Elephas maximus indicus: one gene and its partners. The protein of the gene in region 2 purifies or fractionates together with the protein of the main gene of each other region. This does not show direct contact. Links are inferred from orthologs where the notes say so. Each region holds a gene or a part of one and is shown on either strand. Other genes may lie near its edges.

Region 1 (7,108 bases), on a different chromosome or scaffold from region 2:
TGCCAATATGAAAGCCCCACAAGGCCTGAGATACCTTTCGGCTTGTGCTGTCCGCTGTTCTAAAGCCCAACACCCAAAACAGTGCGTGGTCTATGGTGTCAGTACCAGCTGCCATTGAGTTGATTCCAACTGATGGTCAGAGTGGAACTGTGCTTCATAGGGTTTTCAATGGCTGATTTTTTGGAAGAAGATCGCCAGGCTTTTCTTTTGAGGCACCTCTGGGTAGACTCAAACCTCCAACCTTTTGGTTACCAGCCGAGCACATAAACCTCTTACACCACCCAGGGTCTCCATGTGGCCTATGACCACTTGCCGTCAAGTTGATTCTGACTCTACAGAAGGTGTTTAATAAATACCTATTGAATAAATGCATGAACATATGAATGAACGAATCCATCTACTCCCAGGCCTTCTGGTCCTGTCCCTGTGCTGACAAGTCCCACACCTCTGGCTCTGGCTCCATATCCAATCCCTAACTGTCTCTTGGATGCTGCCCCATGAATGCCCCAAAGTCATATCAAACCTGGATGTCCCAACAAACACATCACCTTCCCAAGCTGCTCTCTCTCTGGGTAACCCATTTCAGCTGCACTCTTGCCCTCAGTCTCCCAGCCAAAGAACCTGGTACCTCATCTGGCTCCTCCTGCTTCCTCACCCTCTACGTCCAGTCTTTTCTGCCTCCAGTCTCCGTGTTTCCACTGCAACATGCAAACTCAAACATGATTTCCCTTGGGGTCACCTGATCATAAGGAAGCCCAGGAGAATCATCACCCAGTAATAATAACATAAATCCCACCCCTTACACAAACACCTGCATGTTGACAGATCACTCTTGCAGACATTATGTCACTGAATTTTCACAACAACCCTGGGCTTAGATCTTATTATTCCTAATGGACAGATAAGAAAACAGGTTCAGAGAAACGAAACATTTGCCTGAGGTCAGAGAGTGAGTAAGAGGGAGAGCATGAATTCAGGTCCCGATAATAAATCCTGAGCAAGCTGTACCTCCCTCAATTTAAAACACTGACTCTTGAGCCAGCTGCATAACTTCTCTGGGCCTTAGTTTCCTCATCTGCAAGATGGAGATAATAATAGACCCTAGGTCACGGGGCTTTTTATAAGAACTCAACAAGTCAATCCATATGAGGTGTTTAGAACGGTGATTGGCAGGTTGTAACATAAATAAATGTTAGTGCTCATTATTATTATGTTAGGGTTTCAGGAAATTTTGTGGGTCTGTGTATTTTTCCTGGGAAGAGAATTCTCAGCTTCTATCGAATTCTCAAAAGGCTCTATGATCCCAAAGTTTTTTTTAGAATCCCTGGTCAATACAGAGACCAAGATTGTTCAGTGTCAAATACAATCATGCAAGCCTTCCCAACATTCCTTCCCAAACACCCCCACATTCAGAACTAAGGAATGTGGCCAAAATCAAGAAAGTGTCTAAACAGAAAGCAGTAAGTACAATCTCAGCCTCAGAAAACCAAGATCACGCAGGTGAAACAGTCGATGCTTAATACACATTTGGCATTCTTCTCCCATCGTTTTCGTATTCCTGACAAGAACATCCTGTGTGGAATTCTGTAACTATCTCAGGTCAAGCTGCTCTCTCCTATTTGCCTCCCTCCAACCTCACAGGAAGTTTTAGTGGTACAAATGGTTAAGTGCCCAACTACTAATTAAAAGGTTGGCAGTTCGAATCTACCCAAAGTTGCCTCAGGAGACAGGCTTGGCCATCTGCTTCTGAAATGTCACAGCCTTGAAAACCCTATGAAGCAATTATACTTTGCACACATGCGGTGGCCGTGAGACAGAATCAATGTGATAGCAAAACATTAACAACATTAATAACCTCACAGGACTGTGGAGTGAATTCAGTGAGAACATGTACAAAAAGTACTCAGAAAAACGCCAGCCAGCACTCCAGAAATGGTAGCTGAGACTGGTCACTTCACTTCCCCTTCCTACACCTCAGTTTCCTCATTGTTAAAAACGGACTTGACTGGCATAAATGATCTTCCTGGACACCTTCCTGCGCTGAGTCCACTGACCTTAGTAGTCAGGATACATGGCAATAATTCACTCTGTTCCCATTGAGGAAAATAAGGCCCGGAATGTGGAAGCAACCTACCAGGGCCACATCCTGATGCCATGGTCATCTCTGGCCTAGTTCTTGGGTCTCTTTTCTTCTATGCTGTGGGGCACAGGGATCACACAACCCATTTTCGGGGTAAGGAAGCTGAGGCCCAGAAGGGAAAGTGACTCAGTGCACTGCCAGCTGACTCAAGAGCTGAGCCTGGACCCTGGGTCTCCAGACTTCTGGTGAGACGAAGGTGGGGAGAGGGCAGGGTCACCTGGAGGACCACAGAGATGGTCTTCTCGCCTGCCTTGGCTGCCCGCCATTTCCGGTAAGTGTCCGCCTTGAGAAGGTTTTCTGCACAGTGGGTCTAGGGACAAGAATGGGAGAGGGTTATGGCACTGAGATGAGAGCTAGGCTCAGCTCTCAGATTATTTCTCCGAATCCTTCCAAGCTCTCTGCGATCCCCCAGATGTAAGTTCCTCTGTTAATCCCCCCACACCCTGCCTTGAGTTTCCTCTACAACCTTCTCCTCTAGAAGTTCACCTCCAGGCTCTCCCGAGAAAGTTCCCCTATTGCTCCTTTTCTCTCCGGAAACTCCACAGACGCCCGGAAGTTCCTCTATCCCACATCTCTCCCAGAGTTCACTTAGACCCTCCTGGAAATTTACCCTTGGCTTTTTTTCTGCTTAGACCTTCCTGAAGTTCCTTGTTACACCCCCAAAGGTTCTTGTAGAGCACCCCTCATTAATCTCCTTACGTCTTCCAACCTCCCCCACGCCGGCCCCTCACCGAGTCCTGGCTGCTGCAGGACACGACATGACGGAGGCGGATCTCCGGCATGTCAAAGTCGTGGCCTTCGCCTGGCCCGAAGGAGGCAAGTGGGCCTGGGTTTGGGGGCGGGGAGGGTGGGGGCGCTCCTCTGCACGGGCTTCAGTACGCAAGCGCGCAAGGCTCGGGCCTTTCAAACTGCGGCGCGCCGGCGCCCGCGTCGACATTGCGCATGCTCAGTTGCGCCTTTAAGGCGCGGAGTGGCGAGGACCCAGCAACAAGCTTTTCTCTAGCCCCGCCTCTCTCTGACCCCACTGCTCTAACCTCTCCTCCCGGTGACGTTTACATCCTGCTTCCTGGGCGCCTAGCAACTGGAGCGGCCTCCGGGATTGGTCCCCAGGAGAAATTCGCCATTCTCATTGGACAATGCGATCACCGCCCAAACTGAAGCCTAAACACAAGACAGCCAACCTGAGTTGGATTTTCGCGGGGAGCCTAATCGGCTCCCTTGGCTACACGCACACACACACGCACACACAGCTTAGAGTACTCCCACCCACGCCTCAGTTCCCCAATGTGACCTGTGAGCATCTGTCTCCTGCCACGCCCACGCTAGCCGCGGACAGGCACCCCTCTGTTCGGTCCGCAACAGACCCAGGCGTGCAGCCCTGGACGGGGTCGGCGCCAGAGAAAGCCCGGACATAAAGAAGGGAGCATGAGCCAAGTGCTAGAAGGAAAAGGGAAGGAGGACAAGTCGCCTGGGTCCTGCAGAACAAGCATGGACATGCTGGGCACTCCCAGGTGGGGCCCCACCCATGCTAGGTGCCTCCTTGGGAAGGTGAGAGGGGATCCCAGTCCTTGTAGCTGCTTCGCACCCACAGGGAATACAGTGACCCCACTCAGACCTTGGGCTTTGAGTAAAGAAGATGTGGGTGTGAAAAATGGGAAAGTGATCTCTTGGGTCCTGATGGAAGAGGGTGCTGGAACCCCAGACTCCCGGGATTCCAGTGGAGGAGGGGGCTGGGCACCAGATGCCTGGATACCTTTTGGATGCTAGTTGCACCTCCCCTACCCGGGGGCTGCAGAGACCTGCCCTGGGCTCAATCTGACCTCAGCTCCTTCTCACCGCAGGTGAAGGTGGGTCTGGACCCGCCCCTCCTCAGCTTCCTATAAGGGCTGGGGACACGGGACTACAGGTTCACACACCATGAGGACCTCTGCTGGACCCAGGGCCTTCCTGCTGACCTTCACGCTGCTCTGCACCCTTCTGGGTCTCGGTGAGTGACTGGGGCCCTGGACTCCTGGGACCCTCAGGAAAGCAGGGACTATAAAAGAACATTCAGCAAATGTCCTCAGGGGGTAAAGTGGGGTACCCAGGGATACAGACTCATGGAGGAGGCAGACACTAACAGAGAGTCTGGGGCCCCAAGGGAAGAAATGCTCATATGACTGGACCCCTGAGAGAGAAGGGGGCTTGATGGGCTCTGAATCCTCTTTCCCTTAGGTAGGGTCCCAAAGCAACACATCCAAATTCTAGAAAATCAGATGAGAGCATGACTAGAAAGGGTTTTTTTGTTTTGTTTTTGTTTTTTTAATTAAGAGAGAGAATATGAATGAGAGAGAGCTCCTTTTTCCCTGGACTCTTAATAACTTCAGGCCCCCTTTTCCCTCAGACCCAAGGGTCCAGCCCCCCAGCCCTCTTCTCCCTCAGACCCAGCATCCCAGGCCCCTCCTTCCTCAGACTCAGGAGTCTGGACACCAGCCCCACTTTCTCCATGACCCAGGTGTCTGGGCCCCCAGCCCCTCCTCTGTCAACACTAAGGGGTCCATGCCCCCAGCCCTCCTGGTCCTCACTCTCCCTCCTTGGACTGGAGGCAAACTCCAGCTTCAGGTACCGCTGCCTGAGCTCCTACTGTTTGCAAGACCTAAGTTGTATCTGCAAGTGGGAGGGCTCCAAACCCTTGAACCAGCTGAACCTGAAACTTCATGAAAGCCTTCAGTACGAACCCTCCCAGCTCTGAGCTTTCTCTGCGGATCCTGTCCTCCAAAGCCCCCAGCCTTGTAATTAGGTAACAGGCTTCACGGTGGAGTCGCTTCCTGCCCTGGGAGCAGCTTTGGTGACATCATCACCGCGTTCCTGTCAGAGTTCTGGACAGGTCCCCGGACACGCAGCAATGTCCCACCCATGAAAAACCAGAGAGACACCAGCCTCTCTCAAGACCCATCAGTCTGGGCCTTGGACCTTCCTCAGGACCAGAAATCCAGTCCCTTCCTCCCTCAAACCCTGCCCCCATCTCCCTCGGGACTCCGAAGTGGGAGTCGTGGCCCACTAATCGCACCGCCCATGACTACAGCCCCGATCTCTACCCTATAGGATGCCCACTAAGCTGTGAGGTGTGCAAGGGCCCTGGGCCCACGTGCAACGGAAAAATGAAGACATGCGAGGATGGCAAGGACGCGTGCGTAGTCGTCGTGGGGGAGTCGAGCACAAGTACGAACGCAGGGCTTTTGCAGGGCTTCTGACCATAGCTAGGGGGCTGGGGGAGAACCTTCAGGGTGGGAAAAAGATACCACCAGGCGGAAGCGGGGCGTGGGGGGGGGCGGTGCGGGAGGGGTCATCCCAGTTCGCAAGCAGGGTGAGGCGTGAGAAGAAATTTGGATGGGGTAGGCAAGAGGAAACAACCATCACAAGGTGGAGGGAGGACAACTGAATGGAGACACAAGCCATTTTTAGATTTTTAAAAAACGAGCAACTCCAAAAGAAGATGGCTATGGGGGAGGGCTTAAAGAGACTTTCTTAGGCGGGAGGGGGTGAGGAAAGGACAAGGAGGAACAGAGAAATACAGTGGAAGAATCTAATAGGCAAGGAGAACGGGAGGGTGATAGAGAAGAAGGAAGAGACTGGGAGAAGGTCCGAGGAACGTGATCAGGGAAGAGACCATTTTGGACAAGAGGGAGGAATCGACCAAAAGATGTCTTGAAGAGACCACCTCAGGGATGTCGGGGAGACCATTTCTGACAGGAGGAGGAGAGATGATGTTGGGGTAGAGGGAGAGAGGGAGAGACCATTCCAGACGGGGGGGGACGATAACTACGAATTATGGAGAAAATCATCCTAAGGGGGGGGACTGGGGACGAAGAATGAAATGGAAGGAAGAGGGGGAGCATGACTTAAATGGAAGAGACCATTCCAGACCTGAGAAAGGCTGAAAGAACACCAATGGAATAGACCACTGGGGGGGGGGGGGATTTTCTTTCAAAGCTGAAAGAGACCATTCCTCACAGGAGGAGAGATGGGGCAAGATGCAGGAGGAGAGGCTGTGACAGGAGATGAGGGGTAACCCTGCGTGTAGGAAGAAACCACCCTGACAGGAAAAGTTGTATAAGAAAGTTGGGCTAGAAGATTGCATGCAGTCCCACCCACGCAGCAAACGTTGGCTGGTGGCAGAAAGGACTTGAAAGGCTTGAGGAGAGCAACCACAGCAGATAGGGGAAGATATAGACCCTGAAGGGGTGTTGAAGGGAGCTGGAGAAAAGTCACCCTTGGGAGTGAGAGAAAGAAGGGAAACCACTGGATTGAGCTGGAAGGAGGGCAGCAAGAGACCATCAAAGGGAGGCCTGGGGATGGACCATGGGGGAGTGTGGAAGAGACCGCCCTAGACAGAGTAGGGGCACAGGTGTTGGGGCGGGAGTGTGCAGTATCCCAGGGTTTGTTGGAAGTGACCCCCCCAGGCGCAGAGGGCGAAAGTTCTGAGGCTGGAAGAGACCACCTCAAGAAGACATGGGGGGTAACCATTAAACGGCCTGAAAAAGCCCACTACAGGCTGGACAGGAGAGAAGGATGGCAGTGGAGTGGTTTGAAAGAGACCATGTCAAGCAGGCACCTGGGGAGTTGGCAATGGAGAGCTGCAGTAGACCCCCAAAGACCTAATGCGGCCTAGGCAATGAGTAGGGAGGGCTTCCTAACATGCCACTCCAAAGTATACCCAGGCGGACCAGGCGTATGGCTTTAGAGGGCTGCAAGAGACCACCCCAGGCAGATAAGGGGGTATAGATTTGGGGCTGGAAGAGATTGTCCCAGGCAGTTGCTGGTGGGGGCGGGTAGGGTTAGAAGAGCCCTCGAGGCTGGGTGTGGCCAAATGCCTTGCCCAGCCCCTTATTCCATCCTCCACCCCACAGAGGGACGTCAGTCGGTGAACACCTACAAGGCCTGCATGAAGTTCAAAGACTGCTACTCCGGCTTTGTGTCCACCACCAT
Region 2 (7,332 bases):
CATGATGTCCTTTCTCCAGGGACTAGTCCCTTCTGGTAAATACATGAGACCAAGTCTCGCATTCTTGCTTCTAAGGAACATTCTGGCTGTACTTCTTACATCTTAAGAGTTCCAAATTGACAGATGTAACTAAATGCCCTAATGTTTCCACTTTTCGCTTTTACTATTATCTCCTATTAAAAATTAGCTTACACAATACGGTGGCCATACTTGGCAACAAGTATTCAGTCAAAACTCATTTTAGCTAAAAGGAGTCTAACACTTCACACTACTCTTATTTTAAAGAATTATTTCCCACATATATATATTATTTCTCTTAAGAAAAATTACTATATGGAAATCTACTACCTTCACAATCTTCATATTCAAGCATTAAAAGTTAAAATTTTCCCCAAATAAAACGTGGGCCTTGAATTTTATCTTAATAAAACATGACATCTGAATGTCAACAAATATTGTCTTTTAATCATACCAAGCACAGAAGTGCCACAGCCTGCAACCATTTTGTAAATAAAAAGGCTTTGCCACTAATTATCTGTGTGACCTTGGTCAAGTCATAATCCTCCATGTCTTAGTTGTTTCACCCTACTCTATAATTCTGTAACTCAAAATGTTCTAATTAACAGGCATTTAACAACAGGTTTTGCTATAATTAACCAAAAAGGTAATATGCCACAAACACTAAACACAATCCATAAATAAGTACAGATATAGCCCAGTGTTAGTAAGATGGCTTCTATACTCACAAAAATTGTTCCTAACTTAGCCTGATTCACCAATTCAGGTTCTTTAGTCACAAACAGAAACTAGCAAAAGTGGAAAAGGCTCAGCAATCTATTGCTAATATTGTCGAAAAAAGCTTTCAAATTCCTGACAATATGTCAGGCGTTTCATGTGAGTATATGGCTAACACATTTATTCTTTAAACAGATGAATGATATGAAACAAAGAAAAAATTTAATTTTATCTTTTTCTTCAAAGTCAAGAAATCATTTTTGGGTCCTTTCAAAAAGTCTGCCCCTTTCTTCCAACGATTCAAGCTGTGGAAACTGAAACAAAACACTTCACTAGTCGATAAATGTCTGCAGAAAGAAAAATCACTTTTTTTTTCCCTTCCTTTTGTCTAACGACTAGCTATTGAGAGAAACAGCTTACCTGATGATTATAATTCTACTAAGTTCTTACCACCCATCGAACAACAAAAACTTTCAAAATGTTTAAGTATCATTATTTCCATTTTGCCCACAACTTACACTGGTCCATTTGAAACATCAATTCTAAATCAAAAGGGCTTAAAAAAGTGCTCCACAATACAATATACAATGACAAAACAAACACACCAAAATCTATTTTTAGAGTGGTATTCACTCTTCCGGTTTTCTCTTTAAAATGTCATTTACTTGACCTATTTTCATGTGTTTTTAGAACACCCAGCCACTCACTACAAACAATATTTGCTGGTCATAAAAACAACAAACCTAACTTTATAAATCCTGTGTTATTTGTGTGGGTTATTTTCTTTATGTCTTCTACATGCCATGTCTTTTAAAAGTCTAAATACAGATTCACTTACTAAAAACAGTCTTAAGTCTCTAATTTCTGTAATTATATACTACTTTCAATGCCCAGTGTTACACTTTACACCCCATTTCAACACCTAAAATGTCAATCATACAAAGTGTTTTCTATCATCTATTAGTTATCTTCTCCTCAGTTCCATACTAATATTAGAAAAATGTTACCTAACAAAATGTGCGTATTTTCAAAACCTGAGCAGCAAGTGCTCACTAAAATGACACTTAGTGAAAAAAAATAAAACCTCTCATTGATAACTGAAGGGGAAAAAAATCCAGTTGCCAGAATGTGTGCATAAACTTACAATCCTGTAGATTTTACCTGTGGAAAGAACTGTTCCATCTCTACACTGTCCAAACATTTCGCAACCTTCCTGGAGAAGCCTTCAGAAAATAAAATAGCGACAACAATGGAGGAAGACCTGTACTCTTTCAGACGGGGTGGGGGGTAGGGATAGAACTCCACACCCAGCAACCAGAAGAACAAAGCAACACTCTGCGCTTTTAGGATGCACTTATGTTTGTAGGCTCAAACGGTACCCTGAGAGATCTCTCAATTTTTCCGATGTTTAATAACAGTCAAAACAAAGATCTAAGAATATGCAGCGGTGGCTCGGGTGGACGAACGGCTGTCTTCATATCCATCCGGGTTCAGGCAAGACCGGGACAGTGGGCAGGAGGAGGAAGAGAGGGAAGAGAAAAAGACAGCAAAGGCACTCGAAAAAGACAAAATACATTCAAATGCGGGGACTGTACACCCAGGCCTCGATATGACACAAGGCCCAAGGTGTTTGACTCCTCACGAGAAACAGGGAGCAGGTAACCCCCAAACCACCGCCTCACCTAAGCTCTAAGGACAAGATCTTCCAGACAGAGGCCTGACACTACCGCCGAGAGGGATGAGAAGGTACCCGGCCACCACCAAAGGCCGCGATGCGGACCGGCGGAAGAGGCTGCGCAGTAATGGCCGCTGCTCTGCTTCTCGCACCCCGACCTAGAACAGCTCCGAGCCGTCGCTCGGGGCAGGGGCTGCAGCGGCCGCGAGCACCACTGAGGCCGTGAGTCTTCCTGCTGCGACAACAGTCACGGCGGAGGCGGCGGGAAGGGTTGAACTCTCCCATCCCGCCTCCGCGCGGACAGCCGGGGCCACGCCGGCCCAAGGGCGTCGATCTACGTACCGGTCCTGACCCCGCCGCCGCCCCTCTCAGGCCCCGAGCGCAGGACAGACACGTAGCGAGTCGCGACCGGCGGTGACACCGCGGGTAGCCCTCCTCTCCCCGAGACAGGATTCTCTGGCAGGGCTAGCCTCCCTCCTGCCCCCCAGGAAGGCTTGGCCCCGACCCCCACCTCTTGGCCACCGCAGCGGACACTTCGCAGTCTTTCCTCTTCGGCCTCCGAGCCCGCAGCGGCCGGGGACGCGCGCGGATGTCACGTGACCTCCCGGCGCGTCCTAGGGGCGGGGCCCCGCGCTGGCGGGGCGGGGCGGGTCTGCGCGGGGCGGAAGGAGCGCTGCACAGCCGGGAGCTTGCGCAGGAGTCCCTGCCGGGCCGTCCCCGCTTCGCTGGTTTCCTACCGTAGCCGAAGCGTTTGTTGGGTGCCGTCCTTCTCCTTCCTCAGACTACCTGCAATTTCGGTTTATATATTGTTTTATAAATATCTTTATATATTGTTTTACTTATGCTTAGGTCCAGGAGGCTCTGAAAGGGAGAGGGAGATTTTGGGTGGACCAGGTGGGACGTATATAGGACCAGCAGGTGGTGCTGCTCAGGAACCCGACTGGGCCATCCGGAAGAAGTCCTTGCGCAGCTAGCTAGCTGGCTGGCTTTCGGTGTGAAGAGCTCTTGATAAAAGTGCTCTTCTGTTTGGTCTCTTTCGAGAAAAAAAAAGAGTCCTTAAGATGTTCGAATTCACCCTCAGAATAGTTGAGCAGTTTAATTAGGGGAAAAAAAAATGGATCTTACTTTCTGTTTGGACTCGTTTTTCCCAACAGAAAAGAACACAGGAAGCTGGAGAAAGAGATTAATCAGCATACCAAAACCAAACCCACGGCCCTCAAGTCAATTCTGAGTCATAGGGACCCTGTAGGACAGAGTAAGACTACCACATGGGGTTTCCAAGGCTGTAAACCTCTGGACGGTGACTGCCAGGATTTTCTCCAGAGGATCAGGTGGTGGGTTCGAACTGCTGGCCTCTGTTAGAAGCTGAGGACTTAACAACTGTATAACCAGGGCTCTTTAATTACCATGCAGAGCTATAATTTAAAAATTGGGTGTTTTTTTTTTTTTGTAGCGTGTGTGTAATTTTAAACATAAAAAAACTTGGCAGTATTATGCATTTTATTTTAGCATGTGCTTTACTTTTTTTCATAACTGACTAAATTGTTTTAATTTGTAGAAAATGCGGAGTGTGGAAGGGAATGCTTTGTATAGTAACAGTACATATTTCAACATTCCATGGCAGTAGTATTGCATTTTGAGGTTTCATTATTTTTTTCAGGCTTGGAAATTTTCAGTGTCCTTGTGTTTTTTTTGTTTTTTTGTGTTACCTAGTGGAAACCCCAGGTTCTTGTTCAGGATAACTCGTATTGGCCTTGGTGGGAGAACAGGAAAGACACCTTTATTTTGTTGTACAAATAAAAGTAGTCAGTCAGAGCCCTTGCTGCCAAGCCTACTGCCCGAGGGTGAGCAGGCAAGTTATTTTTAAGGAGTTTACAAGTAGGGAGTTCATGTAAGTTATGTCAGCAACATTCTTAATCATACTACCCCGGCACAATAGGGTTTACAGATAAGCTCCAAGCAAAAGCAGAATTCAAATGCAAAGCCTGTGGGGGAGGAGCCAGCAAAGGAAACAGGGTTTTTAATGCAACACTGTGAGGGTTCTGTCTCACTTGTATCTATAGATCTGTGTACATTATCTTTTATTTCTCTGAATTCATATTCATCAATATGTAATCAGTCTCTTCAAGAGTTCTATCTATTCCTTTGATGTTTACTCATTAAGAAGTACTCTTTTTCTTATAAGTGTAGAATATGAACATGTAGGTCCTCCACCTGGAAGTTTAGTTTCATATCTTCATTCTTTCCTTAGCCATTCAATTTTACTCCTCTATCCTACACTTTTTTTTTTATCCTACACAACCTGTGAACAGATAATAGCAAAAAAATCCAATATATAGCTTATAGATTTAAGCTTAAAGACATAATAGTAATATTAACTTACAGTGTGCCAGGCTTTGTTTTAAGTGGTTTTGTAAAAATGGTGTGGCGGGGGCATCTGACCTCCTCTAACTTCACAAGGGGGAAGAAGAATCATAATCAACATCAACAGCCCAAGACTGTTTGCTCTGAGGTGGAGGTCAGACATGCCTCCTCTCTCCAATCTTTTTACCAATTCTAACACCAACCGTCCCTTCTATGACACTCTACTTCCCTGCTGAGCTCAATAATTCATTGCAAAAACTCACAGACAATGCTCACAAATATGGGCTCTATCAGGGAAGTAATAGGTTACAATTCAGGGTACAGTTCTTCAATCAGGGCAGCCTCTTCTCACCCATGCCCTTATGAGACAGAGCCCCCACAGTGCTGTGTTAAAAATCCTGCCTTCTTTGCTTGGCTTCCTTCCCCACAGTGTTGCATTAAAAATCCTGTTTCTTTTGCTGGGCTTCCTCTCCCTCAGCTTTGCATTGGAATCCTGCTTTTGCTTGGAGACTATATGTAAACCCCATTGTGTCTGCATAGTATGATTAAGAACGTTGCTGACATAACTTATGTGAACTCCCTACTTGCAAACCCCTTAAAAGTAACTTGCCTGGCCTCCCTTGGCGAGCAGTCTTGGCAGCAGCAGCTCTGACTTTTCTTTATACAATAAAGGTGCCTTTTCTGTACTCCCACAGCAGTCTCTTGTTTATTGGCCGATACGAGTCATGCCGAGCAAGAACCTGGGTTTTCCACCCAGTAACATTTCTGATGAGCCAGCCAGGAGCCATCTGTTCCGTTCTTGAGGTGAATCAGACAACATACCACCCCAGTGTCTGGCACCACCAGGAGATTTCTTCTGTAGACTTTGGGGCAGCTCTGAAGGCCAGTCCACCTGGGACCCAAAAGATGGCTCTGTGGAAGACATGAAATGCACCTGAGTTGTTTTATAAGTACCTAGGCTTTTTTTTTTAGGCAAGATGAGTCGGAATTGACTGGACAGCAGCGAGTTTGGTTTTTGGTTCAAGGTAAGGCCTTAGAAGAGTCCCAAGAAGCGGGGGAAATTGACCATTGAAGGCATTAGGAATCTGAACTTATTTAGTAAATAACCAGGTAATTCCTAGTAAGGCCTTAGAAGAGTCCCAAGAAGTTTGAGGAATTGACCGCCGAGGGCATAAAAGGCTCAGGTACCTGTTAAGTTGGTGCACTGGATTAGGTTGTGTGAGTCTTAAGTGTGTATATCCAAAGAATGGGGAATGTTCAAAGATCCCAGAATGTGGCCTGCTAAGATGCATCCTTAAGAACTGGGAACAGAGACTTGGACAGACATGGCCCTGGCAGCATTTCCCTTTGCTTGTCCCTTTCCTACTTTTGCCTCTTTAAATATACTCTGAATAAAACCTTTCTTTTTGCTTTACTAAACTTTGTGGTGTCCTCACCCTACAAGAGTTAATGGTGTAGTTGTTGCAGGGATTCTAAAACCATGAATCCAGTCAACCTCAAGGAGACCTGGACTGTGGAGCAGAAGCCAGCAAAAAAGAAAAAGAGGTCCTATCTCTTGGACCCACGTGTTCGCACTCTATGTCCCTTTGACACTGACAGGGGGAGTGCCCTCGAAAAAGAGTCTTCACTTATTCTTTTTGTTCTCTTTTTCATGTTTTTTTAAGCTTTGTTTGGCACATTTGTTTTGAGAGCCAGTTGTTTGATTAAGGAGAATCTTTCTTAGGTTTTTTGCTTGATCATTTGGTTAAGAATGATGTTCAGTAACTCATTTGGTGAACTGCAGTTTTGTGTCTGGATTCAGGCATATGAAACATTAAAGAGACAATTCTATTTCCAAAGAGCTCTGGGTCACTCACTATAAGCTGCAAATTTTGGGCACAGGTCAACCAGCAAAAGCCATTAGGGTGGTCACCAGCACTCATCACAAGCGTTAAAGACTCCTGTGACAGGATAACGTGGTGTGAGATAGGCTAGAGTACTAGAGAAAACCTGGGTAACAGTTCTGTTTTGCCAAATTCTCAGAGAGAAGTAGTAGTTCAGACCTGTTTTATGATATAGTTTCTCAATAAAAAATCACAATGTTAAAGTCATCAGTAGCTACTTTAAAATACTTGCCAATTAAAGAAACTAATTTCCAAAACCTTTTAGGTAATTTAAGGTCTAAAATAAGAGACTAGGTCTCTAGTCAACAAAATGAATTGAGTCAAAAAAAAAAAAAGAACCAAAAGCTTGAACGTTAGAGCTTGACATTTTTGATAAATGAGCCTGAATTTCCCCCACTACTGAGACACTGGTTTAGGGGTCATATTTAAAAACACTATAAATATACTAAAAACAATTTAGAATTTTAGTGGACACTTTGAAAAAATGAGCTTTGCATTTGTGTTGTTTTGTCTTTTCCTTTTGGGGGAACTTTTGCTTATTGTTCAATTTTTGTCAAAAGTTCTAATATTCCTCCATCTGAGGCTCTGGCGGAAACCCTGGTGGCATAGTGATTAAAAGCTAGAGCTACTAACTGGAAGATTAGCAGTTTAAATCTACCAGGTGCTCCTTGGAAA
Region 3 (7,057 bases), on a different chromosome or scaffold from region 2:
TTACTCATGAAGATCAAAGACCACAGCCTTCAGTATGGATTATATCTCAACATAAAGAAAACAAAAATCCTCATAACTGGACCAATAAGCAACATCATGATAAATGGAGAAAAGATCGAAGTTGTCAAGGATTTCATTTTACTTGAGTCCACAATCAATGCTCATGGAAGCAGCATTCAAGAAATCAAATGACGTATTGCATCAGGCAAATCTGCTGCAAAAGACCTCTTTAAAGTGTTAAAAAGAAAAGATGTTACTTTGAGAACTAAGGTGCACCTAACCCAAGCCATGGTATTTTCAATCACATTATATGCATGCAAAAGCTGGACAATGAATAAGGACAACTGAAGAATTGATGCCTCGGAATTATAGTGTTGGTGAAGAATACTGAATATACCAAAGACTGCCAGAAGAACAAGAAACCTGTCTTGGAAGCAGTGCAGACAGAATGCTCTTTAGAACTGAGGATAATGAAACTTCATCTCACATACTTTGGACATGTTATCAGGAGGGACCAGTCCTTGGAGAAGAACATCATGCTTGGTAATATAGAGGGTTAGTGAAAAAGAGGAAGACCTTCAAGGAGATGGATTGACACAGTGACTACAACAATAGGCTGAAACATAGCAGTGATTGTGAGGATGGTGTAAGACTGGGAGTGTTTTGTTCTATTGTACGTAGGATTTTTATGAGCCAGAATCAACTTGAGGGCGCCCAACAACACCAACAACAATCTGATGCACTGGACTGGCAATGTTTCACCCTCTTATATATAAGGTCCCCAAGAGAAATAGCTGACTTGATGGCAACTAACAACAACAATTTGATGGTGAGGCAGACAGTCAAAAGACATTTTATTAAAAGAGGAAAACAAACTCTGACTGGCCAAACAAAAGACCTGGGGGCAAACTTTCATGCATGGCTGCCAGTTTACAACCTCTAGACTATGTCCACAAAGATTTCCTTAATAATATTCTAGTGTTGTGCTCTTGCCTTTGGTGTTAAAGGAGAGTGCCAATTTTCTAAACTGACTGGCCCACAGTCCCATAAAGCAGACTTACTTTGTTGCTTTACTTAAATGTGCCCTCTTTTTAGTATATTTTCTAAGTTTTAAATTTATGATGTGTTATTTGATGCCAAAGATGTATAATTACAGCAAAAGTAAAAATACAGGTTTTCCTTTCTTGGGAGTTGAGAAATCCAAGTCTCCTTCATCCCTGTCCAGTGTTTTTTTCACTCTAAGGCACCTGGGTCCCGAGGTCTAAGTCCACATACTTAAGAAGAGGTCTGTATAAAATTTCACCTGTGGTCACAGTTTTTACCTAAGTTCCACATCTGACTCATTAGCTGCTGCCAGTTGGTATCTTGTTGTTACCCAACAGGGTAAGGACATAATGGATAGCAAACACAACCTGTTCACTAATTTTTGCTGGATCATGATTGTTTTTGTAGGGTTGGCAAATGCTAAGGTCCACCAATGACCTTTAATCTTGGTTACCTTTAATCTTGTTTGGCTGCTGTTGCCCGAGGACATAACTCTCTCTAAAAAGGAATAAAATGTAGAATCAATATGAATGCCATGACTTCATAACCTAAGTAAAAAATGAATGAAAAAAAGAGTGGGTGCTAGACTTTTGTCATGGATTGAATTATGTCCTCCCCAAAATGTGTGTATCAATTTGGTTAGGCCATGATTCCCAGTATTGAGTAGTTGTCCTCCATTTTGTGCTTGTAATTTTATGTTAAAAGGATCAGGGTGGGATTGTAACACCACCCTTACTCAGGTCACCTCCCTGATCCAATGTAAAGACAGTTTCCCTGGGGTGTGGCCTACACCACCTTTTATCAAGCGATAAAAGGAAAGGGAAGGAAGCAGAGAGTTGGAGACCTTATACCCCCAAGAAAGCAGCACCAGGAGCAGAGCATGTCCTTTGGACCCGGGGTCCTTGTGCCTGAGAAGTTCCTTGTCCAGGGGAAAATTGAAGACAAGGACCTTCCTCCAGAGCCAACAGAGAGAGAAAGCCTTCCCCTGGAGCTGACGCACTGATTTTGGACTTTTAGCCTACTTTACTGTGAGAAAATAAACTTTTCTTTGTTAAAGCCATCCATATGTGGTATTCCTGTCACAACAGCACTAGATGACTAGGACAACTTTATTCTGACGGTTAACATTGACTCACTAGAAAACATTAGACAAGCTGCCTAAATTTTCTGTGCATTCGTTTGCTCATCTGTGAAATGTCATCTCTGTACCTGAGAGTTACGACAGTCATAGGTTTTGGATTTTTAGAATTGCCCCATAGGCACTCCATTCAAACATTTAACAATGCTTTTTGAGGGCATACTATGTGTGAGGCATTGTTCCAGGTGCAAATTCAGCATGTCCTAAAAGTGCATGCTGAAATTCATTGCAGGAAACAATGACAGCATTTGTGATTTTAATTTACTACTGTTTTAGGGTTTCCTAACTTTGGCCATAGAGCTAACAGGTAATAAGTAAGGATATTTCAGGACATAAACCAAGTTATTACTAGTGTAAAGAGAACTCAACATGCCGTCCTTTACAATCTTGCTGTGAGTCGCTGGAGGGCAGGGGTGATGCGTTATTGAATTGTATAACCCCAGAACCCAGCAGAGTACCTGGTACCTGACAGTCAATGCTGATTAAATAAGTGAACGACCCGACCCCCTGATAAGCATTTCAGGCAACCATGTCTTGAAAAAGCACACGAGTGAGAACCCAGCGGCTCTAAGGAGGACCAGCACTTTGTGGCATCACTGGGGGGGGGGGGGTGGTGGAGGGGGGCAGTGCGGACTGCATCTGGTGACACCGTCAGAGGGGGTGGCAGTGTGCGAGGCAGCGTGCGAGGCAGCGTGCGAGGCAGCGTGCGAGGCAGCGTGCGGGCGGCGCTGGGGCTCCGTGTCCTGTCACAGGTGTAGACCGAAAATGCGGACACATGCAGGTGCCAGTCTGCAAGCAGGAGCCGAGTTCCGCAAGCCAGCCTGGGCCCTTTTCGCCGTCCCCTCCCCGTCCAACAGCGCACCCGCGGAGCCCCCGCCAGGCCTTGGAGCGCTGGCTTGGCGGCTGATCTCCCTCCACCCAACGACCTGCGAAAGACTGAACTTTTAAGACTCTTCTCCCCCGCTAGCGTGACTGTGCCAGGGCCCGCGCTGGGCCCGGGAATTGGGCGGCCTTTCACATGCAACTCCTGGGCACTGCAGCCCGTACCAGGTGGAGCGGGACGGGCCAAGTGACCTCTGCTCCTGGAGGGACGCGCTGTGTCCCAGGGCCCTTCCTGGCCGCCCTGAGGCCTTCTCTCTAACCCTTTCCGTTGCCACCCGGAGCTAGCCGCGCAGCCCCAGTGGCTGCCCGATTTCTCTGCCCCGCCAAAGAGCAAGCAAGCCTGTGCGCCAAAACGGAACCTAGAAGGCCAGTGGGTCTGGGTAGAGGTATCCCTACGTTGCAGCATGCCTAAAGTGGCCCTAGAGGAGGCGCCCAGCCGCTAGTGAGCGCTCAGCGGGATTGCGTGTCTGCCATCCATTCCCACTCCTCGGTCCGGGAACGCGAACTCCAGTCAGCCGCCCGGGTTCTGGAGGCCGGGGCCAGTCCGCCAGCGCCTCTGGCCTTCTGGTCCCCGTGACCGCGGGGCTGGGGTCGCTGCGCTTCTTACCAGAGCCGGGACTCCGTAATCCGAGGGAAGGAAGTGATCACCCAGCAGCCCCGCTTCTGCCTGAGGTCCTGTTGGCTTGCAGACTGGGGGAGGCATTTGCATGTCCCGGGAATTACGATTTATGGGTAACATTAAGACAAAAAACATTATTAAGGATTCTGTACAGCATAGTACTGGCGGAGGTTCATATGCGGAGGGAAATCGATCCCAATTTTAGTGACCCCCCTGCCAGCGCTACAAGAATTCCTGAATGAATCGGTAGGGTAACCAGAGCGCCGCATGCCCAACTCTGGTCCGAAAAGCCGCGTAGGACGCGCCCTCTGGCGGCGGCTGCGCTCCATCCGCTCAGCGCCGGCAAGTGGCCTGGGGCCTGAGCGCGTAAGGAAGCAAAAGCGCGCAGGGCCGCGCGGGCGGGGCCTCTCCAGGCCGGATGGAGCGCGCGGGCGCCGCGACCCGCCAGTGCAACATGCCGGACTTCCTGGTGGCTCTTCAGACTAAGTACAGAGCCGAGGGTACCCGGGCGCGGGTGGACGAGCACGACCTAAGGCTGTGGGGTCTGACAGGTCAGTGGGCCCGGCGAACTTCCGCCCAGATGGGCCAACTCCTAGGGACTCGCCGTGCCAGTCCTGTGGCGCCTGGAGTTCACCGCGTCCGTTGGGCTTATTTACCTGCTGGACCCAGCGTCTTCCCTTTCAGCCCTAGGGATGGGGTGCGCGGAGTGGAAACTGTGCCTGTGACGGGTGGCCATTTCCCGCTCCCGTTTTGCGTGTAGGGCCCAAGGGCTGGAATGAATGAGGACCGGGCGAAGGAGCGAGGCCTGTACCAGGGAGACAGGCCGGTGGGAGGGTAACTGCGTAAAGCCAGCGCAAAGTGCAGGCCTCTTGAAAAGAAGAGGACGCTCTGGCTCCCCAAGGGTGTGAAAGTCTCTTTTGCGTGGGCCTTTTCCTTGGCTGCTTCTCTAACTATCAGAACTCGTCTTCCAGTGGCAGTTCGCGTTCTTCGTTTACTGTGCATGCGCAGTTCTTTGATTAATTCTCCCCTAGTGCCATATTTTTTTTTTAGTGCCATATTTTGAAATGTGCAGCTAAGGGATGTTTGGCTGCTCATCACCGCACATAACAGTCTATTTTATTGATACTAGTCTTTCCCCAGAGTCCTCGATCCGCGAAACTTGCATTACCCCCCGAGGTCTGCTGATTAGTGTCTGGTCGTATTTCCTGCATGGAGAGACTCAGACTCTATTCCCAGAACTGCACTTGATTCGTCACTTAACCTCTCCGAACCTTTTCTTTATTTATAAAATAAGAAAAACAGCACGTGCCTTATCTGTATGACAGAATCGTGGGTCGACAATAATCAATACGTGGTGGGGGTCGTTTATTCATTATGGAGTGTGGCAGAGAGCCACATACTAATAAGGTACAGAGATGAGCGTACATATTTTGGGTACAAAGATGAGCAAAACAAATATGGGCCCTGGTCTCTTAGAGTGCTGAATGAGAGTGCTTTCAAAAGTATAAACACGTATTTATTGAATTTCATACCTTGTGCTAAATATCACAAAAGCGTGAAGTTTTTGTTATTCTTGAAATGAAACAAAAGATGCAGCTCTATACCCACCTTAGAAGAGGGATGGATAAAGAAGAGTGGATAGGGTCCAGACAAGAAAAGATCTCTCCCTTCTTGTGTCTCTGAGTCTGTAAGAATGTGTATCTCTGTCCCGTAAGGAGTGTGTATCCATCTGTGAGCATTTATGGACAGATGTTTATATGTTTGACGTATCTTGCCTTAAGTTTATACTTTTGTGTTTGCTTATTCCCTTGCAAGTGCTTTGGGATATGATTCTTTGAGAGCATGTGTTACTGAGAGCTAGGAAATGTGTACACATTGATAATAAACTGTGGATTATAACCAGAAAAAATGTACACATGGAAGTGATAATGAGAAGATAGACGAGGCAGCAAGTCTGAGTGAATAGGATAGAATGGGTGAATGAAGTAAATAGGCATATGTGGAAAAGGATAAACTGGAGAAAAAGAAAAATGGAAAACAGGTGTAGTCAAAAGAATAACCGTTAAAAATTATGACTTAAAATTCCTATTTCTATTTGCCAAATAAATATTCCGAGAATTTACTCCTTGTTTGTTAAATAACTTACTGATTTTTTTTTTCTTTCTGACTGCAAAAGTAGTATATGTTCTCTTTAGAACAGTTAAGGGAATATCATACACATAAAGAAAAGATGTTTAATCTTCACAATCCAATTACTGTTGTCTTCATGAAGTCACTGGACCAACACTCCAATTTGATATTTAAACCAATAAAATTTATGGAAGGAGTGAACTGCGGGAGAGCATTCATTCAGCGTGGCTGTAAGGGTATGCTCTGCCTTACAGACAAAACAAAGAAATATTTAACAAGTAGAGTGAGTACAGATAACAACTTCACATCAAAGTAATGGCAGGAGAGGAGGTGAGATTTACAAAGGTGGCAGTTAACTGTGAAACTTCTTTACATTGGTTTCTAGTCTAACACAAATCTCTCATACTTGATACAATTTAACTGGGTCACTATTTCTTAAATGAAAAGTATAAACAATTTTTTTAAATTGAACTTTAGATGACGGTTTACAGAACAAACTAGTTTCTCATCAAATAGTACACACATTGTTGTATGACATTGGTTAACAACCCCACGACATATCAACACTCACCCTTCTCAATCCTGGGTTCCCTATTACCAGCTTTCCTGTTCCCTCCTGCCTTCCAGTCCCTGTCCCAGGGCTGGTGTGCCCCTTTAGTCTTGTTTTGTTTTCCATGGGCCTGCTCAATCCTTGGCTGAAGGGTGAACCTCAGGAGTGTCCTCATTACTGAGCTGAAGGGGTGTCCAGGGGCCATACTCTCAGGGTTTCTCCAGTCTCTGCCAGGCCAGCAAGTCTGGTTTTTCTTTTTGAGTTAGAATTTTGTTCTACATTTTTCTCCAGCTCTGTCCAGGACCCTCTATTGTGATCATTGTCAGAGCAGTCAGTGGTGGTAGCCGAGCACCATCTAGTTGTACAGTCTGGTGGAGGCTGTGGTAGATGTGGTCCATTAGACCTTCTGACTAATCTTTCCCTTATATCTTTAGTTTTCTTCATTCTTCCTTGCTCCTGAAGGGGTGAGACCAGTAGAGTATCCTAGATGGCCGCTCACAGGCTTTTAAGACCCCAGATGCTACTCACCAAAGTAGAATGTAGAACATTTTCTTTATAAACTCTGTTATGCCAGTTGAGCTAGACGTTCCCTGAGACCATGGTCCCCACAGCCCTCAACCCTGCAGTTTGGTCCCTCAGGGAGTTTGGATGTGTCTAGTTAGCTACTATGACCTTGCCTTGTACAGGTTGTGCT
Region 4 (6,827 bases), on a different chromosome or scaffold from region 2:
TGGCTGTCCTTGCTATTCTCCCACATTCCGGCTTCTGGGCCCTTATTGATGTGCCCTCCACACTAGATCTTCACGGGGCTCTCTACTTCATTCCCTCAAGTCTTTACTCAGTTGTCACTTTGTCAGTGAGACCTTCCTGACCACTGCACTTAAAACTGCAACCTCCCACCCTCCCGGCACCTCTGCTCCTCCTCTATAGCACCCGTCATCATCTTACACAATTTTCTTTTTCCCAAATAAAAGGTCTTACATATTTACTACTGAACCAACCTGTTAGTGCAAAACCATAAAAACGAAGAAAGAAACCAGGACTTTCCCAATGTAACATGTTCAGTTGTTCAGTTACTGGCAAAATCTTCAGCTTGATATGGTAAGATGCCAGTGAACTTGATAGAGTGTAAATATGTGTACCATCACATATGAGACTCCTTATAGACCCAGCTTGGTTCTTCATTGTCTCCTCTTGCAGTTATATATGATTTTATTACCCGTTTTCATTTGAATCCATTGGGGAATGGGACAATTCTCCCTGTTTCTTGGCCAGGGATCTCTTAGTCCTGAAAGTCTTGTGAGAAGACATGGCAAGATGGAAGTCTGCAATTTACTTTGTTGTTTATTATCTATCTCCCACACAAGCCTGTCAGCTCACAAGGCCAGGGATTTTTGTGTTTTGTTTCACTACTCTATTCCAGCTCCTGGAACAGTGCCTGGCACACAGTAGGCACTCAATAAATAACTTGACTAATGACTAACTGAGTGATTAAGCTCTATGGTGGTATGAACGTATCCAGGCTGGGAAGTGGTGGGAAATGTACATTTACTAAAACACTTCTAAGGGCCACGCAGTTTGCAAGTTAGTATTAGCCATCTCGCTTAGTTGCCACAAGCAATCCTAAAAGTTAATTGTATCACCATTTCACCATGAAAACTGAGATCCTGAGGAGTAAGGAAAATAGACTAAAGTTACTCAGTGGTGGAACACAATTCAAACCTAAGTCTGTGATTTCAAAGCCCTGTTTTTCCCACCATACATTACCTCATTCTCCTTGGTAGCAGTTCCCACGTCAAACAATTGGCCTCAACGAAGAAGGCTTAATACATCCAAAACAAAGCTCATCCTCCTACCTCAAATACTCCCTCCTCCCCTCTCATTTTCTGTTTCAGTTGATGATCTATTATGTACTTGCTCGCTTGAGTCATACTCATTTCATCTTTAGATAAACGAGCATTTACCTAGAAGGCAATTTGGAATCTAAATGTTTCTCAAAAACACATCCTCTCCATCCCGAGTTTCTTCAGGCCACATTCATCTTTTACATGGGTCACTATAAATACATTTTAATTGGTCCTCTTGCTTCAGCCTCCCCAGATTGAGCTTCAACCGTAACTCCTGTTTCCATAAAGCCCTTCATGGCTCCATCATCTACGGAATAAAGGTCAAGTTCTTTATCAAACAACACGTAATTCCCGCCAGGACGTGACCCTTGCTTACTTCTCTAACAATGCTCTATTGTTGCTGTTCCTAAACCCTGAACAAGTTCACTTACCTTCTCTGAGCTACCCTTTTGTAAAAATAGACATCCTAATCCCTCATAAAGTGCTGAAAAGTGATGATGTTACCTTGAAAATTAAGGTGCACCTGACCCAAGCCATGGTGTTTTAAATCACCTAATATGCATGGGAAAGCTGGACCATGAATAAGACCAAACAAGAAATGAGGTGTTGGCGAAGAATACTGAATATACCATGGACTGCCAAAAGAACAAACAAATCTGTCTTGGAAGAAGTACAACCAGAATGCTCCTTAGAAGCAAAGATGGTGAGACTAATCTCACAAACTTTGGACATGTTATCAGGAGGGATCAGTCCCTGGAGAAGGACATCATGCTTGGTAAAGTGGAGGGTCAGTGAAAAAGAGGGAGAACCTCAACGAGATGGACTGACACAGTGACTGCAACAATGGGCTCAAGCATAACCATTGTGAGGATGGCACTGGATTGGGCAGTGTTTCGTTCTATTGTACATAGGATCGCTATCAGTCACTAGATGGCATCCAAGAACAATCTCTCATAGGGTGCCCTGGTGGCTCAGTGGTTAAGCACTGGGCTGCTAACTAAACCGTTCGTGGTTCAAACCCATCCAGCTATTCAGCGGGAGAAAGATGTGGCAGTCTGCTTCATCTAACGATTACAGCCTTGGAAACCCTAAGGGACAGTTCTACTCTGTCCTACAGGGTTGCTGAGTCAGGACTGGATGGCAAGGGGGTAAACTCTCATAAAGCTGAGCTGAGGTTCAAAAGAGATAATGCACTTAAAACTATATATAATATAAAGGACTTTTTCCACATCTCCTTTACACAGTTTCATAACTCCATATACATTACCCGTTAAAAAACCAAACCCGTTGCCATGCAGTGGCTCCCAACTCACACCGACCCTATATAGACAGGGTAGAACTGGCCCATAGAATTTCCCAGGAGCGCCTGGTGGATTACGAACAGCCGTCCTTCCGGTTAGCAGCTGTAGCACTTAACCACTATGCCGCCAAAAACCCTATATATACATTAAAAAAAAAAAAAAAAACCGTTGCTGTCGAGTCTACCGTAGATCTGCCCCATAGGGTTTCTTTCCAAGGAGTGCCTGGTGCATTCGAACTGCCAACCTTTTGGTTAGAAGCATTAGCTCTTAACCATTATGCCACCAGCGTTCCCATATATACATTATGTTTCTTTAATTCAACATTTATTGAATACTTACTACATGCTAGGCATTGTGCGGCACCCAAGGCAGGGGGAATACAGATAAACAGGTTTAATGACAGGATCTTAGCCTTCCCCAAGCTGATTATAATGTAGTTACACAACCAGTATCTTTTAATTGAACTGGATAATCTCCAGCAACGAGAAAATCAGGAGGATCTGTGGAAGTTCGGGTCAGGATGCGCTCCGGGGCGCAACCACATCCCTTCATCTTCGCTCCCTCAGGCCGCAATCACAGACCGGGAACCCCCAAACCCAGACACTAGAGACTCGGGCCCCACGTGACAGAATCTGACCACCACCCACGTGGCAGGCCGGGGGCGGAGACCAGGAGCATAAGTCGGACCTTTGCTTTTGCGCCTGCGTGCTGCCTCCAGCTCAAGGACCCGGATTTAAAGAGACAGGAGCTACAACCGTCGTGGGCTGGCCACGGCCTGTGGGCCCCCGGTCCTTAGGCCTACGGTGTGCGCCGGAGCCGGGAAGGCAGGTGAGGGGCGTCCCAGCGGACCGGGCACTGGGGAGGGGAGAGGGCCAGGTCCCGCACCGCGGCGCGGCCCCGATTCGGCCCCCTCGGCTCCTCCCCCGCCCGCCTGCTGAGCACCGGAGCACACCCTCCGTGACGTGGCCGCCCCCCGGGAGCCGGCGGGGGAGGTTCGCGGCTCTCCAGGACCCCCCACGGGACCCGCGCGAGGGGAGGTACCCGCTTCGTGCCCCCGGGCTTGTGTCTTCTAGGGGCTTTCGTGGGGGGCTTTTCCGACCCCAGGCCTCTCTGCTTGCGTCCCGCGATGAAGTTGGTGCGCCTGGGGAGACTTTGGAAGCCTTTCTCCCTTCCCTCCGCCTGTCTTGGCCCCTTCCCCAGCCCCACGGGCGTGTGCTCCCCGGTCCCTGCCGGCCTGAACCGGAGGGAGTCGGGGTACTGGGGACACGGCGCCCGGGACCCGCCTCCCCGCAGCCAGACCCCCGAGCCCGGGACAGTAGACCCAGCCTGCTCTCCGAGCGTGTCGCGGGCAGGCCCCTGAGGAAAAGCGGCTGCAAGGGTTTCACTCCCAGCTCGGTGCCGCTCCCTTGCCCAGCCGGTGCGGCGTTCAGGCCTTAGCGGTTTCCTCCTCGGGTTCCTTTGAGGAAATGCTGAGCTGCGGCCGTTGGGAGCTGTGGGACCGGCAGACGGGTTCCCTCAAAGCAGCATTGTGCCTTCTCGGGGCCCAGCGCCTGTGAGTCGCTTGTGATGCGGGGGCAGGACGCTGACGCCGGCCCCCTGCACTATTCCCACTGGGGAGGGGCGGTGACTCCGTAGATCGCTCTGCAAAGGGAGATAGCAAATCTACCAGGTGCTGAGCTCCTACTAGGGGCTCGCCACTTTCACACGCCTGGTTCTTCGTTTAGGGAGTTAGAGAGCCCTTTGTGGATCTCGTGAAAGTTACCGACCTTCTCTCCAAAAAAAGTACATTTGCAAATGTACACATTTTGTATACATTTTCAGGAAGTTCAGAAGCCTCCATCAGCCCATCCATGGACTCGTTTTAATTTTCACAACCACCCTGTGAAATAGATATTATCGTCCCTTTCAGAGAAGTTAAGGGATTTCTCAAAGGTAACTTAGTAAGCTGTATGATCAGACTCGGAGTTCCTAGTTGGTGCAAAGGTTTAATATGTATAATGCATGCGCTAGTCTGCTAACTGAAAGGTTGGAGGTTCCAGTCCATCCAGAGGCATCTGTAAGAACGGCTTGGCCATCTGCTTCCCAAAAATCAGCCATTGAAAACCCCACGCAACACAGTTCTGTGACACACGTGGGGTCACCATGATTAGAAGTCAACTCCATGGCACCTGGTAAACTAGACTCCCTAATGCCGAAGCTCGTGTGCTTTCCCCTGCACCATGTTGCCCTACAGTAAAGAGAAGCCTACTTTTTATTGTAATGCAATAGCAGTTTCACTCTGAAGGAGTGTGCAAACTGAAACTAATTTCCAGTATTTTTAAAAGTAGAACTATAAAGATTCTTTAGGAAATCTGAACCATATGTGAAGGTTGGGGATACCATCAGGTATAATCCCTGTTTCCATATGGATTGATAGATCAGCTCCTTTGACTCCTCCTGTCCCATTACTTCAGCATACCTGGATTCAAGTTGCTGAATTATGAACAGGTGTATAATTGCTTAGAGGACAGCGTCTTCCTTATAAGGGGACCTAGCATTTATTGCGCCCCTGCTGCGTGCCCAACTCTGTTCTAAGGACTTAACCCTTGAGATAACCCCTTGAGTTAGGTACTGTTACTAGCCATAGTTTATAAATATGGAAACTAAGAAACCAGAGAGGTTAAGTTAACTTACCAAGATACATAGCTGGTTGAGTTAGAATTTGAACTCAGGCAGTCCAATTCCAGGCTCTGCTAGTTGCCTCTCAAAATAGGGCTTCTGATTAAATCACAAATCTATATAGAGTAGCTTAGTTGTTTTCACAGGATGGCATGTGTGTCACACTTCACATTAAAAACTTCATGAACATTTTTCTTGATGGTGAAAAAGAAACTTCAGGCCCCTGTAACTTTAAGTCTGGAGTACCACGTATTGCTGATGGCCTGGGAAAATGAATAAGCACGTATTTGAGTTGTCTTAATTGTGATTTACCAGATACGCATGTGTGCATTAGATAACTGAACACCTTTTGCAGACTGGATTTCGGTATTAGAACTCTTTTCATCTTATGGAGAGTCAATCTGCAGTACTTGGAGAAGCATTGAATTAGTCAGCATGAAATGTGTATGACTCTAGCCTTTGTGGAAACTGGAAGCCCAGCTTCTCATTTTTATATCTTTCTCTGCCTCTCGTCTTTTCATGCAGCTATATGACTTTGGCTTTCAAGACCCTCTTCCCACAAACTCTCCGTGTACTCAGCCGAAAAGAACCGTGCCTATTCCGAGTGCGACATCACCGGCCTGACGTGAGACAGTTCAGCCAGCGTTCAGAAACAGATCTGATTCCTGGGAGCTGCCTCCTCCTGAGAAAAGAGCCTGTTCTATCATTCCAGCGAGGCAGTCTAAGACCACGTGCCACCTGCCTTGTTTTCTCGCCAGGATCGCATGTGGGACTCTGTAGTGGCTCCAGTGAGATGGCTGAGCAGCGGTTCTGCGTGGACTATGCCAAACGTGGCACAGCTGGCTGCAAAAAATGCAAGGAAAAGATTGTGAAGGGCGTTTGCCGAATTGGCAAAGTGGTGCCCAATCCCTTTTCAGAGTCCGGGGGTGATATGAAAGAGTGGTACCACGTTAAATGCATGTTTGAGAAACTGGAACGGGCCCGGGCCACCACAAAAAAAATCGAGGACCTCACAGAGCTGGAAGGCTGGGAAGAGCTAGAAGATAATGAGAAGGAACAGATAACCCAGCACATTGCAGGTGGGGTGGAGAAAACTGCTTTTTCATCTTACTGGTGCCAAGAGAAAATAGGATAAGGAGAATAGAGTCCAGTTTTTGTTTTTGTTTTTTTTTTTTTGCTTTTTTCAAAACAGTTTATTTGGAGATAATTTCAAACAGAAAAGTCAAAAGAATAAAAATAGTGCAAAAAATCATAGTTCCTTTATCAGATTCACATATTGTTAAGTTTACCCTATTTGCTTTATCATTTGCACTTATGTGCATTGTCTTTCTATCTCCACACACACACACACATTTTTTTCCTGAACCATTTGAGAGTAACTTGCATACGCTGTGGCCCTTTACCTTTAAATGCTTCAATGTGTGTATCATAAGAATAGGAATACAGGCAGTCCTGGGGTTATGAAGGAGGTCCGTTCCTAAATCTAAGTCGACTTAGTAGGTAATACAAAGTTACACACTTAGCACAGTGTTGAGGCAACATGATCCAATTTAAAATGACAGATTGCATTCTCTTTCCTTGAGCTTATGAACTGCTGAAGCCACACAGTGTTTTCATGAGTGTCACAAAGTAGTGCATGCGTTCATTATTACCGACCATTGTATTTAACTCGAGTTTTTAATATACTAGGCTTTACGGCAGTCTGTTGTTAAGTACGCGTTATCCGTAAATCAGACGTTCTTAATCCAGGGA

Evidence for each region.
Region 1: the proteins of RNF146 (region 2) and XRCC1 purify together in Homo sapiens (co-immunoprecipitation; 3 studies listed by BioGRID and IntAct, with this or other methods). This does not show direct contact. The link is inferred for Elephas maximus indicus from reciprocal best matches to the Homo sapiens genes RNF146 and XRCC1.
Region 3: the proteins of RNF146 (region 2) and CHD1L purify together in Homo sapiens (co-immunoprecipitation; 3 studies listed by BioGRID and IntAct, counting the BioPlex papers as one, with this or other methods). This does not show direct contact. The link is inferred for Elephas maximus indicus from reciprocal best matches to the Homo sapiens genes RNF146 and CHD1L.
Region 4: the proteins of RNF146 (region 2) and LIG3 purify together in Homo sapiens (co-immunoprecipitation; 3 studies listed by BioGRID and IntAct, counting the BioPlex papers as one, with this or other methods). This does not show direct contact. The link is inferred for Elephas maximus indicus from reciprocal best matches to the Homo sapiens genes RNF146 and LIG3.

The regions. Positions count from the first base shown.
Region 1 is NC_064829.1:106,924,154-106,931,261, reverse strand, and holds the start of XRCC1 (DNA repair protein XRCC1), read right to left. Parts: upstream 3,010-7,108; 5' UTR 2,923-3,009; coding exon 2,872-2,922; intron 2,451-2,871; coding exon 2,358-2,450; intron 2,341-2,357; exon of another isoform or gene 2,135-2,340; intron 1-2,134. Other genes in the region: PINLYP (phospholipase A2 inhibitor and Ly6/PLAUR domain-containing protein), read left to right, coding at 4,058-4,127, 5,225-5,341, 7,030-7,108. UniProt on the Homo sapiens protein: Scaffold protein involved in DNA single-strand break repair by mediating the assembly of DNA break repair protein complexes. Negatively regulates ADP-ribosyltransferase activity of PARP1 during base-excision repair in order to prevent excessive PARP1 activity.
Region 2 is NC_064819.1:195,289,536-195,296,867, reverse strand, and holds the start of RNF146 (E3 ubiquitin-protein ligase RNF146), read right to left. Parts: upstream 3,014-7,332; 5' UTR 2,922-3,013; intron 2,915-2,921; exon of another isoform or gene 2,753-2,914; intron 1-2,752. UniProt on the Homo sapiens protein: E3 ubiquitin-protein ligase that specifically binds poly-ADP-ribosylated (PARsylated) proteins and mediates their ubiquitination and subsequent degradation. May regulate many important biological processes, such as cell survival and DNA damage response.
Region 3 is NC_064821.1:158,965,104-158,972,160, reverse strand, and holds the start of CHD1L (chromodomain-helicase-DNA-binding protein 1-like), read left to right. Parts: upstream 1-4,039; 5' UTR 4,040-4,101; coding exon 4,102-4,234; intron 4,235-4,339; coding exon of another isoform or gene 4,340-4,419; exon of another isoform or gene 4,420-4,483; intron 4,484-7,057. Other genes in the region: FMO5 (flavin-containing monooxygenase 5), read right to left, coding at 4,340-4,419. UniProt on the Homo sapiens protein: ATP-dependent chromatin remodeler that mediates chromatin-remodeling following DNA damage.
Region 4 is NC_064837.1:29,849,130-29,855,956, forward strand, and holds the start of LIG3 (DNA ligase 3), read left to right. Parts: upstream 1-3,807; 5' UTR 3,808-3,883; coding exon 3,884-3,969; intron 3,970-5,600; coding exon 5,601-6,154; intron 6,155-6,827. UniProt on the Homo sapiens protein: Isoform 3 functions as a heterodimer with DNA-repair protein XRCC1 in the nucleus and can correct defective DNA strand-break repair and sister chromatid exchange following treatment with ionizing radiation and alkylating agents.